3 linked regions of the Nothobranchius furzeri genome follow. The protein of the gene in region 3 purifies or fractionates together with the protein of the main gene of each other region. This does not show direct contact. Links are inferred from orthologs where the notes say so. Each region holds a gene or a part of one and is shown on either strand. Other genes may lie near its edges.

Region 1 (3,500 bases), on a different chromosome or scaffold from region 3:
TGCATTAAAAGTTTCCCTAGCATTGTTTCACCAAGGTGGGTCCACCTTCACACCAATCGCCAAATGCCGACAGATTTTACTCGCGTTCTTTGATACCATACTATACCGTACTATAACTCCACAAAGGTTTGTGCCATCAGAAAATTTCAATATCCACATAGTGTTATTATGTAAATCCTTTTTGTTGCAGGAAACGAGCAAGTAAGATTAGAATAAGAATACCTTTATTTGGCCCTCAGTGGGGATATTGCAGACTCACTGTCTCACACTCAAGAACAGCGCAGAGTGAGGGACAGACAATTGCGACAGAGACAGACGACCACATTAATAAATAATATTGGCCACAGTAGTGCCACGAAAAGGAAAGCAAACTCGTAAAAATAACCAAATGTGCCACTATTCTGAAATTACAAACTCGATCAGAAATTGACAGATTGTTCATTCCTAAAATTTGTCTTCCATGAAGTATTTGGGAGAAACATTTAGTAAAAAATTGAGTGTATCTTGACAAGTGGAAAAGTTGTTTATAATCTTATTTAAAATCGGTTTATGTTTTACTGCAGTTGGTCTGGAGCCTCTGCAGCTATCCGTGTCCGAGGAGAGACATCTGGCCATCCTCACCGAGCTGCCTTTTGTTGTTCCTTTTGAGGAGAGGGTGAAGGTATCAGAACATGTTTCCTGTTCTACGTGTCTGAACTCTGAGGATCATTACTGACTGTCGCTGGGTTCACGTCCGCCCTCTAGATCTTCCAGAGGTTAATCTACGTCGACAAATATGACGTGCAAGGAGACGGGCCGTTCCCCGATGGCATCAATGTCACCATCCGACGCAACTACATCTACGAAGACGCCTACGATAAACTCTCTCCAGAAAACGGTACCAGCGGCGTCTTCGACTTTAGCAGCATCTCCTTACTTTGTGTTCTGTTTTGTTTGTGAAATCGGCCTACATTACATCCTGTTTGCGCTCACATGGTTCCAGTGAATGTTTCTGAATGTCTTATTATGTTCTATAAAGCCTCAGTAATGAAGATCCAGTTTCCAGTTTGCATTAAAGATGAAGAACGCCGCTCTCCTGGAACAGACTATTGGATTTCAGTAAAGCATAATTGTGATTCTGATTATTGTAATGGATCACATAAAAGCAGAATCAATTATTTTAAGTCACCTCTTTTGTGTTTGAATTTGAAAGGCTACTTCAGCGAGGGGGTGGGCAATCTGATTAAAAAGAGTAGTAGGAGACCTGGACTGAAGACATGATCTATATCATCTATGTGTCCATAAGTTATAGCCGCCTTGATTTATCTTTGTACCTTTATTATTCTGAAAGATGACCTGAAATTGATTCGAATGTTTGGCAAGTTAAGAAAGGGCTTCAATGAAAAGTGTGTTTTTTAGGGATTGTTTTGTTTTGCTTTAATATTAATGAATTTGTTTCTTGTTCCATCGGATATTTATTCTTTGTGTCCTTAAACCAGAGCCGGATCTTAAGAAAAAGATCAGAGTCCACCTTCTAAACGCCCACGGTCTGGACGAGGCAGGCATCGATGGTGGAGGCATCTTCCGCGAGTTCCTTAACGAGCTCCTCAAGTCGGGCTTCAATCCCAACCAGGGATTCTTCAAGACGACCAACGAGGGCTTGCTGTACCCCAACCCTGCTGCAGAGATGCTGGTGGGGGACTCTTTCACGAGACACTACTATTTCCTGGGCAGGATCCTTGGAAAGGTGAGCCTTTCAAAGTCAAATTTAATAAGATGTAAAGGCCTAGCCTTCCTTCCATGTCGGAGTTGAGAGCCAGACGCCTTTTAGAGTTTTTACAATACCAGTACATCAACATTACCTGGTTTTTGATCAATAATATTTTAAGACTAACGTGTTTTTTTTATAAGTAAACTGATCAAAAATGGCAAACTTTCTGTGCGACTGGTAAACTACAATTTATTTTTTATTTATTTTGTTTCCCTAACTAAAATGTACGGGAAACTACAATTTAACATCTTTGTACAATGAGTTGAAAACACAGAATTTAAATAATAAATAAAAAAAACAATAAGTTAGTATTTACCTTTTAGTGCAAAACAAACACAAACTGCATGAAGATCAAGTTTAAACTGCTATCGCTTCTTTGGTTAAAAAAAATGTCTGCTCTCTAAAATCCTGAAATATAAAACGTTTATGTCCCAAGGAATTAAATAAATAAACATACAGTAGAAATGAAAAATGAAACAAGTTAAAACTATGTACACTAAACTTTATTCTAGCAATTTTTCTTCAGAGAAAAGGAGCCTGATGTCACCACCGGTTAGAGATGGACCAGGCAGATATTTACCTTTTTTTTTTTTTTATTGGCATCGGTCGACAATTGTCCTCAGTAAAGGCAGGCACATCCTCGGGCAGCCTGGTGCCTGGTACATTTAATTTAAATGTATTTTTACATTCACTAGTAACATCTGCATAATAAGTACCCTAAATGAACTTTAAGATTTAACAGTTAGTTGAATTCAGAGTCAAAAACCGCATCAGCTTTGGAAATTTTGTGCATCAACTGATGTTATTAGTACCATTTTAGCATGTAAATAAGGTGGAAAATGTCTGGAAATTGGCAGCACATATCGGCCGTCGGCTGACTACATGTCGGTATCGACAATAGAAAAAAACAATATCGGTCGACCGCTACCTCCAATGTGCAGCAGAGGGAGAAGCTTGTGGACTCGGGTCTGATTTATTTTATTTGCAGTGGAGGACGGTGCATGCTTTGGCTATAAAATTTCTTGTATTTTCATATTTAGCGACACAAATCTTATCACAGATTTTTCATTTACTTTCACAAAAAGCAGCCAAACTTTTGATGTTTTCAATGGTTTCTTAGTTTGAGAATCTGAAGAAACGTTGTAAATGACACACAGCACTGTCCACCTGACGCATAACGTCGTTTAATGTCCACAAAGCGTAGTAAACAGTAATTAGTTGCCGCTAAAGTGGATGGGTGCTTTTCCGTCGTCTGCTAAGTGTCGCGTTTTGGAAGCGTCCCAGAAGTGTACGGAACTAGGTAGGCCTTACGAGGTAAGCTTCCAAAGCATCAAGCTCACCAGTTCAGATTGGGCCAGACAGGATGTCAAACACAAAAGCAGTGTAAAACATCCAGAAACTTTCAAAATAAAAGTCATGTGGAGTTTTCCAGTTGCTTAACTTGTAAGAAGTAGGTCATTATTTGTGACACCTCTATAGCTGAAGTAAACAGAACCAAATGGTTAAAGAGGTACTATGTTTCTGTACCCAGCCCTAACACACACACACACACACACACACACACACACACACACACACACACACACACACACACACACACACACACACACACACACACACAGTGCCTTTTGTTTCCATGATGGGTAATAATAGTAAAGTGTTCTTATATGAACACCGGCTGCATAAAAGCGTGTATTTATTTACTACAATGCTTAAAGAAACTTCTGTCCATTCTTTAAAAAGTAAAACG
Region 2 (3,500 bases), on a different chromosome or scaffold from region 3:
GCCACCCTCAGTTAGGCTGTCCCCTTCTCTGCCAGTCTTTAAGAATCACCTAAAAACACACCTCCTCCCCTTGGCGTTTCCAGAACATGTTTGATTTTGGCCCTCTTTTATGTTGAATCCATTCCACAGTTTTCATTGGGACACTCAATCCATCCACTCAATCCAATTGTGTTTCACACATTTGTATTTTACCGGAATGTTTCATCTATCTTGTAATTTCCATTTTGTATTTTGTAATTTGTATTTTGTAATTTGAATTTCTTTTATTGTTGATTTATTCAGTATAATTACTTACAACTGTACCATGTTCAGCGCTTTGGGCTTCCTGACAGGGTTGCGGAAGGCGCTTTATAAATAAAGCTTTGATTGATTGATTGATTGAGTAATTCACTCTTTTAATCAATTAACCGATTTATTATATACTATACTTTACTAATGGGGTGCCATAGTAGAGAACATGTTAAGAATGTAATTCCTACATTCACAGAGTGTTAGTTTAATTTTTCACTTTTAAAGTGAGTAGTTACCAGAAATGTGTCTTTTAACGAGCTCCAACAGAAAAAGCTAATAGTGACAAGGTTTGGAAAGAAAAGGTACTAAGTGTGTGTGTGTGTGTGTGTGTGTGTGTGTGTGTGTGTGTGTGTGTGTGTGTGTGTGTGTGTGTGTGTGTTTGCTTGCTTGCTTGCTTGCTTGCTTGCGTGTGCGTGCGTGTGCGTGCGTGTGTTTCATGGCCTCTGCAGTGACAGGCTCATCGTATGACACCATGGTGAACGAGATGATGCTAATGGGCTATGAGAGAGAGCAGGTGGTGGCAGCAATGAGAGCGAGCTTTAACAACCCAGACAGAGCCATGGAGTACCTGCTCTCGGTAAGAACAGCTCCGATAAAGTCTCCTTAAAAGGTCACACAGCTGTGTGACCTTTGGGAAAGATGGAGCTAATTGTTCCTTCTCATAATCACAGACACCTTCACCTAAACGCACCTTGTTAAACACTTTGACTTAATCTTGGTATGCATACTTTATGGTAGATTTAAAGCGGCAACAACATCTTCGAGCTACTTGTTTATTCTGCGTGACATTTAAAACCAGCATGAGTCGTGACTCCTCCCACAGGGTGTTCCGGGCAGAGATCAGGGCCCTGCAACAGGACCCGACGCTGCTGCTGGTTCACCTCCAGCAAGTGGAGCTCCAGCCAGCAGAGCTCCAGCTGCACCTGCTGGCAGCATTAGTGGCCCTGCCAGCACTGGCTCTTCACCAAGTGCTGCAGGAGGTAAACAGGCTTTCTGTTGCCTAAAACACACAGTAGCCTTCATTAATAAACGTTTATCTGCATAATAATCTCTCTTTCACTCGCCGCTTGACACTTTGACTCACACTAACAGGTAACCCCTTGAGCTTCCTCAGAAATCAGCCTCAGTTCCACGTCATGCGACAACTGATTCAGCAGAACGCCGCCTTGCTTCCAGCTCTGCTGCAGGAGATCGGCAGGGAAAACCCAGAGCTGCTGCAGGTAAAGGACCGACAGATTTCGTCCTGCCTGAACGATATAAAATCATTTAAATACACTTGGAGTTTATTTACTAAATCACTTTTACCACCTGTTACCTGTCTGACGCTCTTTTTTTTTATTTTTATTTTTAGAAAACAGATATTTTCCTTCTTTTAAAGGGAATACTTCTGAAAACGTAGCTTCAGCCGAGGTTCAGAGTTGATCCAGCTGAAACTAAACAGTCTCTAAATCGTCTGAGCTGCGATGCTGAAATCACACACCTGCTGACACTTCCTGTCCCACGATGAAAGCAGATGTTTAAAATCTGTGTTTGCAAATACACACAGAGCACATATTTGCCATGGAGCACACAAAACCACACCGTGTGGTTTAAGATGTCATATCCCCGAAGACTAGTGCAACACTGGCCACATATTCATGATTCGCCTTATTGCTTTACAGTATAAACGTGTGCTGTGTCATTGTTGTAGGACGAATGCAACGAGTGCTCAGATAGATCCTGAGATGATAGAACCTGCAAAATACGGGTGTGATGAAGAAAATGTGCAATTAAAGGCCGGAGATTTAACCACGCTTACAAAGGCTGATCAACTCTCTCTCTCTCTCTCTCTCTCTCTCTCTCTCTCTCTCTCTCTCACTCACTCACTCACTCACTCACTCACTCACTCACACACACACACACACACACACACACACACACACACACACACACACACACACACACACAGAGTTGTAGATCAGGGGCAACACGGTTGCCCAGGGACACTAGATTTAAACTGACAGCCTCTGCTGATGCTAGCCTTCTCTTCCACCTGAGCCGCAGCCTCATCCCTTTCAGAGACCGTTGGAGAGCAGCAACGACACAAACACATGAATTAAAATTAGTTGAGCTCCTGAGCAGCTGAACTGAAATGTTTTGCTGTTGCTCATCCGTTGCGAGCTCGTTGGTCCAGGTTTGATCAGACCTTTAGAGCAACTGGACACGTTGTTGCCGGGTGGACTCCAGAGTTCCAAGAGCAGCACAAAGTTATCAGTACGCAACTTAAAAAAACAATGCAACAATGGCAGACGTGGTCATCGTGTTGAGCATTCTGATTAGCCTGTGTCTTTTTGTCAGACCTTGGGCCTCATTTATCAAACGTTCGTAGAAATGTTCCTGTATTCAATCCTACGAATGGAATTTAGAATGTTGGTACGAACAGCCCAAATCTGGTTTATGAAACATGTAGTGGCCTCTCGTACGCATGTTCCTCCGCAGTCAGCTGTTGATTAATCCCACTTGTGCGTACTCAGGTGCTCGTGCCTGTTGACAGCCATTTGCATCGAGAAACGCCCTCAATGAACCATATTTGGTCACGCTACGTCCTCAGCACATGAGGGGATTCCTTGGTTTTTTTTCCCAGAAAAGATCGAGATCGAAACGCTGGCTGCCGAAGCACAAAAGAACCAAACAAGTTACAGAGGTTACGCGGTCGGGACAGAGGAGAGGTTCCTGTCAGAAATAAATTTACAAAATGGATTTAATCAGTCGTAGAGTAACAGGTTCTCGTTTACATTTAAGGGGTCGTTCTGTTTGGATTTAGTTTTATTTGGAAATGTTGTCTGAGAGCGCAGCCTCTGAGCTGTCATTCAGTCTGGTTACCTTGGCAACGTGGCGTGTTTGATCGGGGAGCAGAGGAGGTTCTGGGGGATTCTCATAGTTGTAAAATAAAATATGAACTGTGATCGGCTTTGTGAGGTTTGTCTGTAGCGCCACAGAGGGTCCCAAATCCGAGCATTTGAGATCAGAGCACTCACGGAGAACACGTTCCCTCCAGGGAGCACGCTCTGTTAAATCCTCCAGTGACACAGATCAGCCATGATGATGTCAGATTCCCGTTGGTCACAGGTGTCTTTTATTGATTTTAGTACCAATTATGCAAAAAAGCTGTTTTTCCACTGACAAAATTACATCCTGGATAAATGAAATTTGTGGATGAGAACCATCTG
Region 3 (3,965 bases):
AATGTTTGTTAGATAATCGTCAATGCATTTATTAAAAATGTATATTTAATCTTTTATTGACCAGGTGAAGTCTATTGCGATCAAAGAGACTGCAAGAAGGCAGTATCTCTTATCATGTGTTTACATCCAGTATTTAGTTATTTTTAACTTTCTAAGTATTTCTGCAATTGGTTTTCTTGATATTTACTCTTAATTTTTTTTCTTTCCTATTTGCTCAATATAATGAATGTTATTGATTCAGTGACACTATAAGCTCCCTACTGAGGGACAATAAATTGATATTCTATTCTATTCTATTCTATTCTATTCTATTCTATTCTATTCTATTCTATTCTATTCTAAATAAGGTAAAAGTTAGAAATAGCTCAAATTCAGCGTGATCCATTAAAAACATTTGCACACAAAGCCGTCTGTAAGTGATTTTTGCTCTTGGTCTGCTCTCTTTTCACGTGTCTGAGCAGAACCTCCCTGAACCATCTGCAGGTGGTTCAGAACGCCTGTGCTCGGCTTCTGACCAACTCCTCCAAATATACCCACATCATCCCGCTTCTCCTTCAGCTTCACTGGCTGCCAGTCAACTTCAGGGTTCATTTGAAGATCCTGGTTCTGGTCTATAGGGCCTTACATGGACAAGCACCATCTTACATTGGTGATCTTCTCTGTCCCTACACCCCCAGCAGGTCCCTGAGGTCCAGTGATCAAAGCCTAATGGTTGTGCAGTGCACCAGGCTAAAGACCAAAGGTGACAGATCATTTGCTGCTGTGGCCCCCAGACTCTGGAACTCTCTCCCCCTGAGGCTGAGATCAGTGGACTCAGTGGTCTCCTTTAAAAACAGCTGAAGACTCACTTGTTCAAGCTGGCTTTTGTATGACCTTCTTCACCACTCTCTCTTTATTCTGCTCTCCCCACCTATTCCACCTTCCTCAGGATCCACTGATTTCCCTCTTTCCTATTCATTCTCTCTCTTTCTTAACATTTTTTAATCACAATTGTCTATTTTTGCTCATTTTAAATATATGTTTAACCATTTTCTAAATTCTTTTTTATTTTTGTGAAGCGCCTCGTGATTTTAATCTTGAGAGGCGCTATAGAAATGACATTTTCTCCTTCTTCTTAGGAGCTGCGCCTCCTCCTGCGCTCCCTTGCGCAGTAACAACTCGCGTGAACAGACACAGATTCCCAGAATTCCGTTTGCGCGTGTGGAACGGAAGCATTCATTAGCAAGCAGCGGCGGAGTGAGACAGATAACATGGCAGACAAGAAACAGACCGTAGATTTGGGATTACTAGAGGAGGATGACGAGTTTGAAGAATTCCCAGCTGAAGGTAAACCAGCCACTTGTTATTTAGCGATGTAGTTTTGTTTTAGCGGATTGTCGCTTCTGAGCCTAGCTACGATGACTCAGCTAGCGTTAGCCTTAGCTTCGGTTAGCTGGGAAAACAGCAAGGAACTGGTAGCTAGCTCAGCAAAACGGATTATTCAGCTTAGTAGATCTTTTTGTCTTGTAATGCGGAAACGTGCTTGTATTATATCTGTGTAGTTGTACCGTTTTGATGTTTCACCACCTGTGTTCATTAGCACGCATTAGCTAACAGTGTTACGGAGGAAAACGAGAACAGGTGAAACATCAGCTCATGTGGAGGGTTTTTAAGAGTGAATCTATAGGTTACAGCTATATTTACTGACATGCATGCGTTGTTATTCCAGATTGGACGGGGTTGGATGAAGATGAAGACGCTCATGTTTGGGAGGACAACTGGGACGATGACAATGTGGAGGATGATTTCTCTAATCAGCTACGGTAACCCTCAGATTCATGCAGGATTGAACAGACTCTGTGTAAATACTTTAGAGTGTACTTTTATCTAGGTGAGCAAGTCAACCCGAAACCGTTAAACTGGCTGTTTTATCATCATCTCACGTGGCTGGTGAACAGTGGTGTTTATGACTGTTTGGTTCTTGCTTCCACGTGAGCTCTTGATTTCCTGTTTTTTTTATTTTATAAATGATACCTGAAATGTTCTTGTTCAGATTGTTGTAGAAAACTAAGTGTTTAGATAGTTTTGTTGTGTACAGAGTGTTTTATGAGAAAACATTAAATGGCAACATAATATGTGCCGTTTTATTCTGTTGAGCCATTGCTGTCCACCTGCTAGTTAAAATAAAAATATATTCCACACCAAACTTACGAGCACTCTGCCACATTTCCCCCTCGCTCCAACGAATTATCCAGCATAAACTCTCTAAACTTCAGTATCAGCACCAGATGTTTAGAAAACTAAATCGGGACAATATTGTTGTGCAGTTCTCAAGTTTTCTGTTGATGTGGATAAAAATCTGCAGGGCCTGAAGTACTTTGTTCTGTTGAAACGTTTTAGCTCAGAAGTTTCTTCATAGTTCATGTTGTGTAAGCAAAATGCTTTTAAACAACATGGAAAAATTAGGGATGGGTACCGAATTCGGTACTTTTTAAGGTACCGACCGAATTCCATAGTACCGGCCGAGCACCGATTCACTTCATTTGAAAGGGTGCCTCGTTTCGATACCCGTCCTTCACAACGAGTACTTGCCTAGACAGCTGCGCATGCGCAAGAGCGTTATGTCATCGGTCCCTGCGAGCGAGTTGTAAACAGAGCAGCATGGTAGAAAGAACGAACGCTAAAGCTTGGGTCCACTTCACTAAATGTGATGGGTAACTGGGTGATGATGAAAACAGCGACAACGATCTAAGTGAGACATCCTCATCTTAATCTGCTCCGGTAGGTAAATAAAATGTAAGATAACGTTAGCTTGATTTGTTAGCTTCCGTTTCACTAATGGTGCGTTCGCTTTCTCCTCGGAACTCCGAAATCCCGACTAGAAGAACATGAACGCGCTCTAAAGTTTGGCTTCGCTTTACTAAATGCGACGGGTGATTGGGTGAAGATGAACCAGTGACAACGATCTAAGTGTGAGGCATCATCGTTTAAATCTGCTCCAGTAGTTAAACTGTTTAAGATAACGTTAGCTTGATATGTTAGCTTCCTATGCCACCATTGTTATCATCTAATGGTGCGTTCGCTTTCTCCTCGGAAATTCTAACTTCCCAGTAGGAAAAATCAAATGAAAAAGGACGGTAAAAGGAATGAAGATACACAGTAAATTTAGTTCACAGTAAAGATGTTTGCTTCAGTTTAATTATCAGCTTATAAAACTACAAGGACGATGTTAAAATACAAACTGTTATATGTTATTTATCGTGATATTTATCAAATATGGTTATGAATTGAGAAAAATATATATTTAATTATAAAAGAGAATCAAAATATTAAACACTCAAAAGTATCTAAAATTGGTACCGTTAAGTACCGGTATCGATTCCTAGGTAGTGGTAATTAGCACCGAATCGATTCAAATGTCAAAGGTACCCATCCCTAGTGACATTACTATGGGCTTAGTGTTTGGATTGATTAAAGCGCGTTTCTCCTCAGGGATGGGACTGATGATGCGTTTTAGGCCGACACACAGAATCGATACCAGCTGATAGATGCGTGGCAGCTCTGTTTATGTTTGAGTACACTCAGGACAGCAGAATGCTGTTGTATTTAGGTCAGTTACAGTCGCCGTACTATTAAGTTGTTTCTTAAAGATATCATTATTGCGTAAGGGCACAGCGGCCATATGTGTGTATAATCATTAAATCCATGGCTGCATGCGTTATCTAATATTTATGTATTATTATTTTTTTCACTTCCATCACTTAATGGTTCTTACAATCAATAGCCGAGGGTACTTGTGCCCCGGCCGCCCACCTGTAATCATCTCTGCTGACTTGATCTTTTATTTTCCTTCTCCTCCCTGCAGAGCGGAGCTGGAAAAGCACGGATACAAGATGGAGACGTCGTAGTGGCTCACGGAGCCTTCCGCTGGATATGGACTCTTATTGCTGGGTCGTTCACCGCCCCGCTTTTCAAATGTTAATTAG

What was found. The genes of interacting proteins can lie anywhere in the genome.
Region 1: the proteins of sem1 (region 3) and ube3c purify together in Homo sapiens (affinity purification with western blotting; 3 studies listed by BioGRID and IntAct, with this or other methods). This does not show direct contact. The link is inferred for Nothobranchius furzeri from reciprocal best matches to the Homo sapiens genes SEM1 and UBE3C.
Region 2: the proteins of sem1 (region 3) and rad23b purify together in Homo sapiens (co-immunoprecipitation; 3 studies listed by BioGRID and IntAct, with this or other methods). This does not show direct contact. The link is inferred for Nothobranchius furzeri from reciprocal best matches to the Homo sapiens genes SEM1 and RAD23B.

Annotation. Positions count from the first base shown.
Region 1 is NC_091747.1:47,535,394-47,538,893, reverse strand, and holds part of ube3c (ubiquitin-protein ligase E3C), read left to right. Parts: intron 1-563; coding exon 564-661; intron 662-744; coding exon 745-877; intron 878-1,478; coding exon 1,479-1,726; intron 1,727-3,500. UniProt on the Homo sapiens protein: E3 ubiquitin-protein ligase that specifically catalyzes 'Lys-29'- and 'Lys-48'-linked polyubiquitin chains.
Region 2 is NC_091746.1:57,625,072-57,628,571, forward strand, and holds part of rad23b (UV excision repair protein RAD23 homolog B), read left to right. Parts: intron 1-740; coding exon 741-868; intron 869-1,114; coding exon 1,115-1,271; intron 1,272-1,383; coding exon 1,384-1,511; intron 1,512-3,500. UniProt on the Homo sapiens protein: Multiubiquitin chain receptor involved in modulation of proteasomal degradation. Binds to polyubiquitin chains.
Region 3 is NC_091751.1:26,676,023-26,679,987, forward strand, and holds the start of sem1 (26S proteasome complex subunit SEM1), read left to right. Parts: upstream 1-1,165; 5' UTR 1,166-1,250; coding exon 1,251-1,326; intron 1,327-1,708; coding exon 1,709-1,802; intron 1,803-3,844; coding exon 3,845-3,887; 3' UTR 3,888-3,965. UniProt on the Homo sapiens protein: Component of the 26S proteasome, a multiprotein complex involved in the ATP-dependent degradation of ubiquitinated proteins.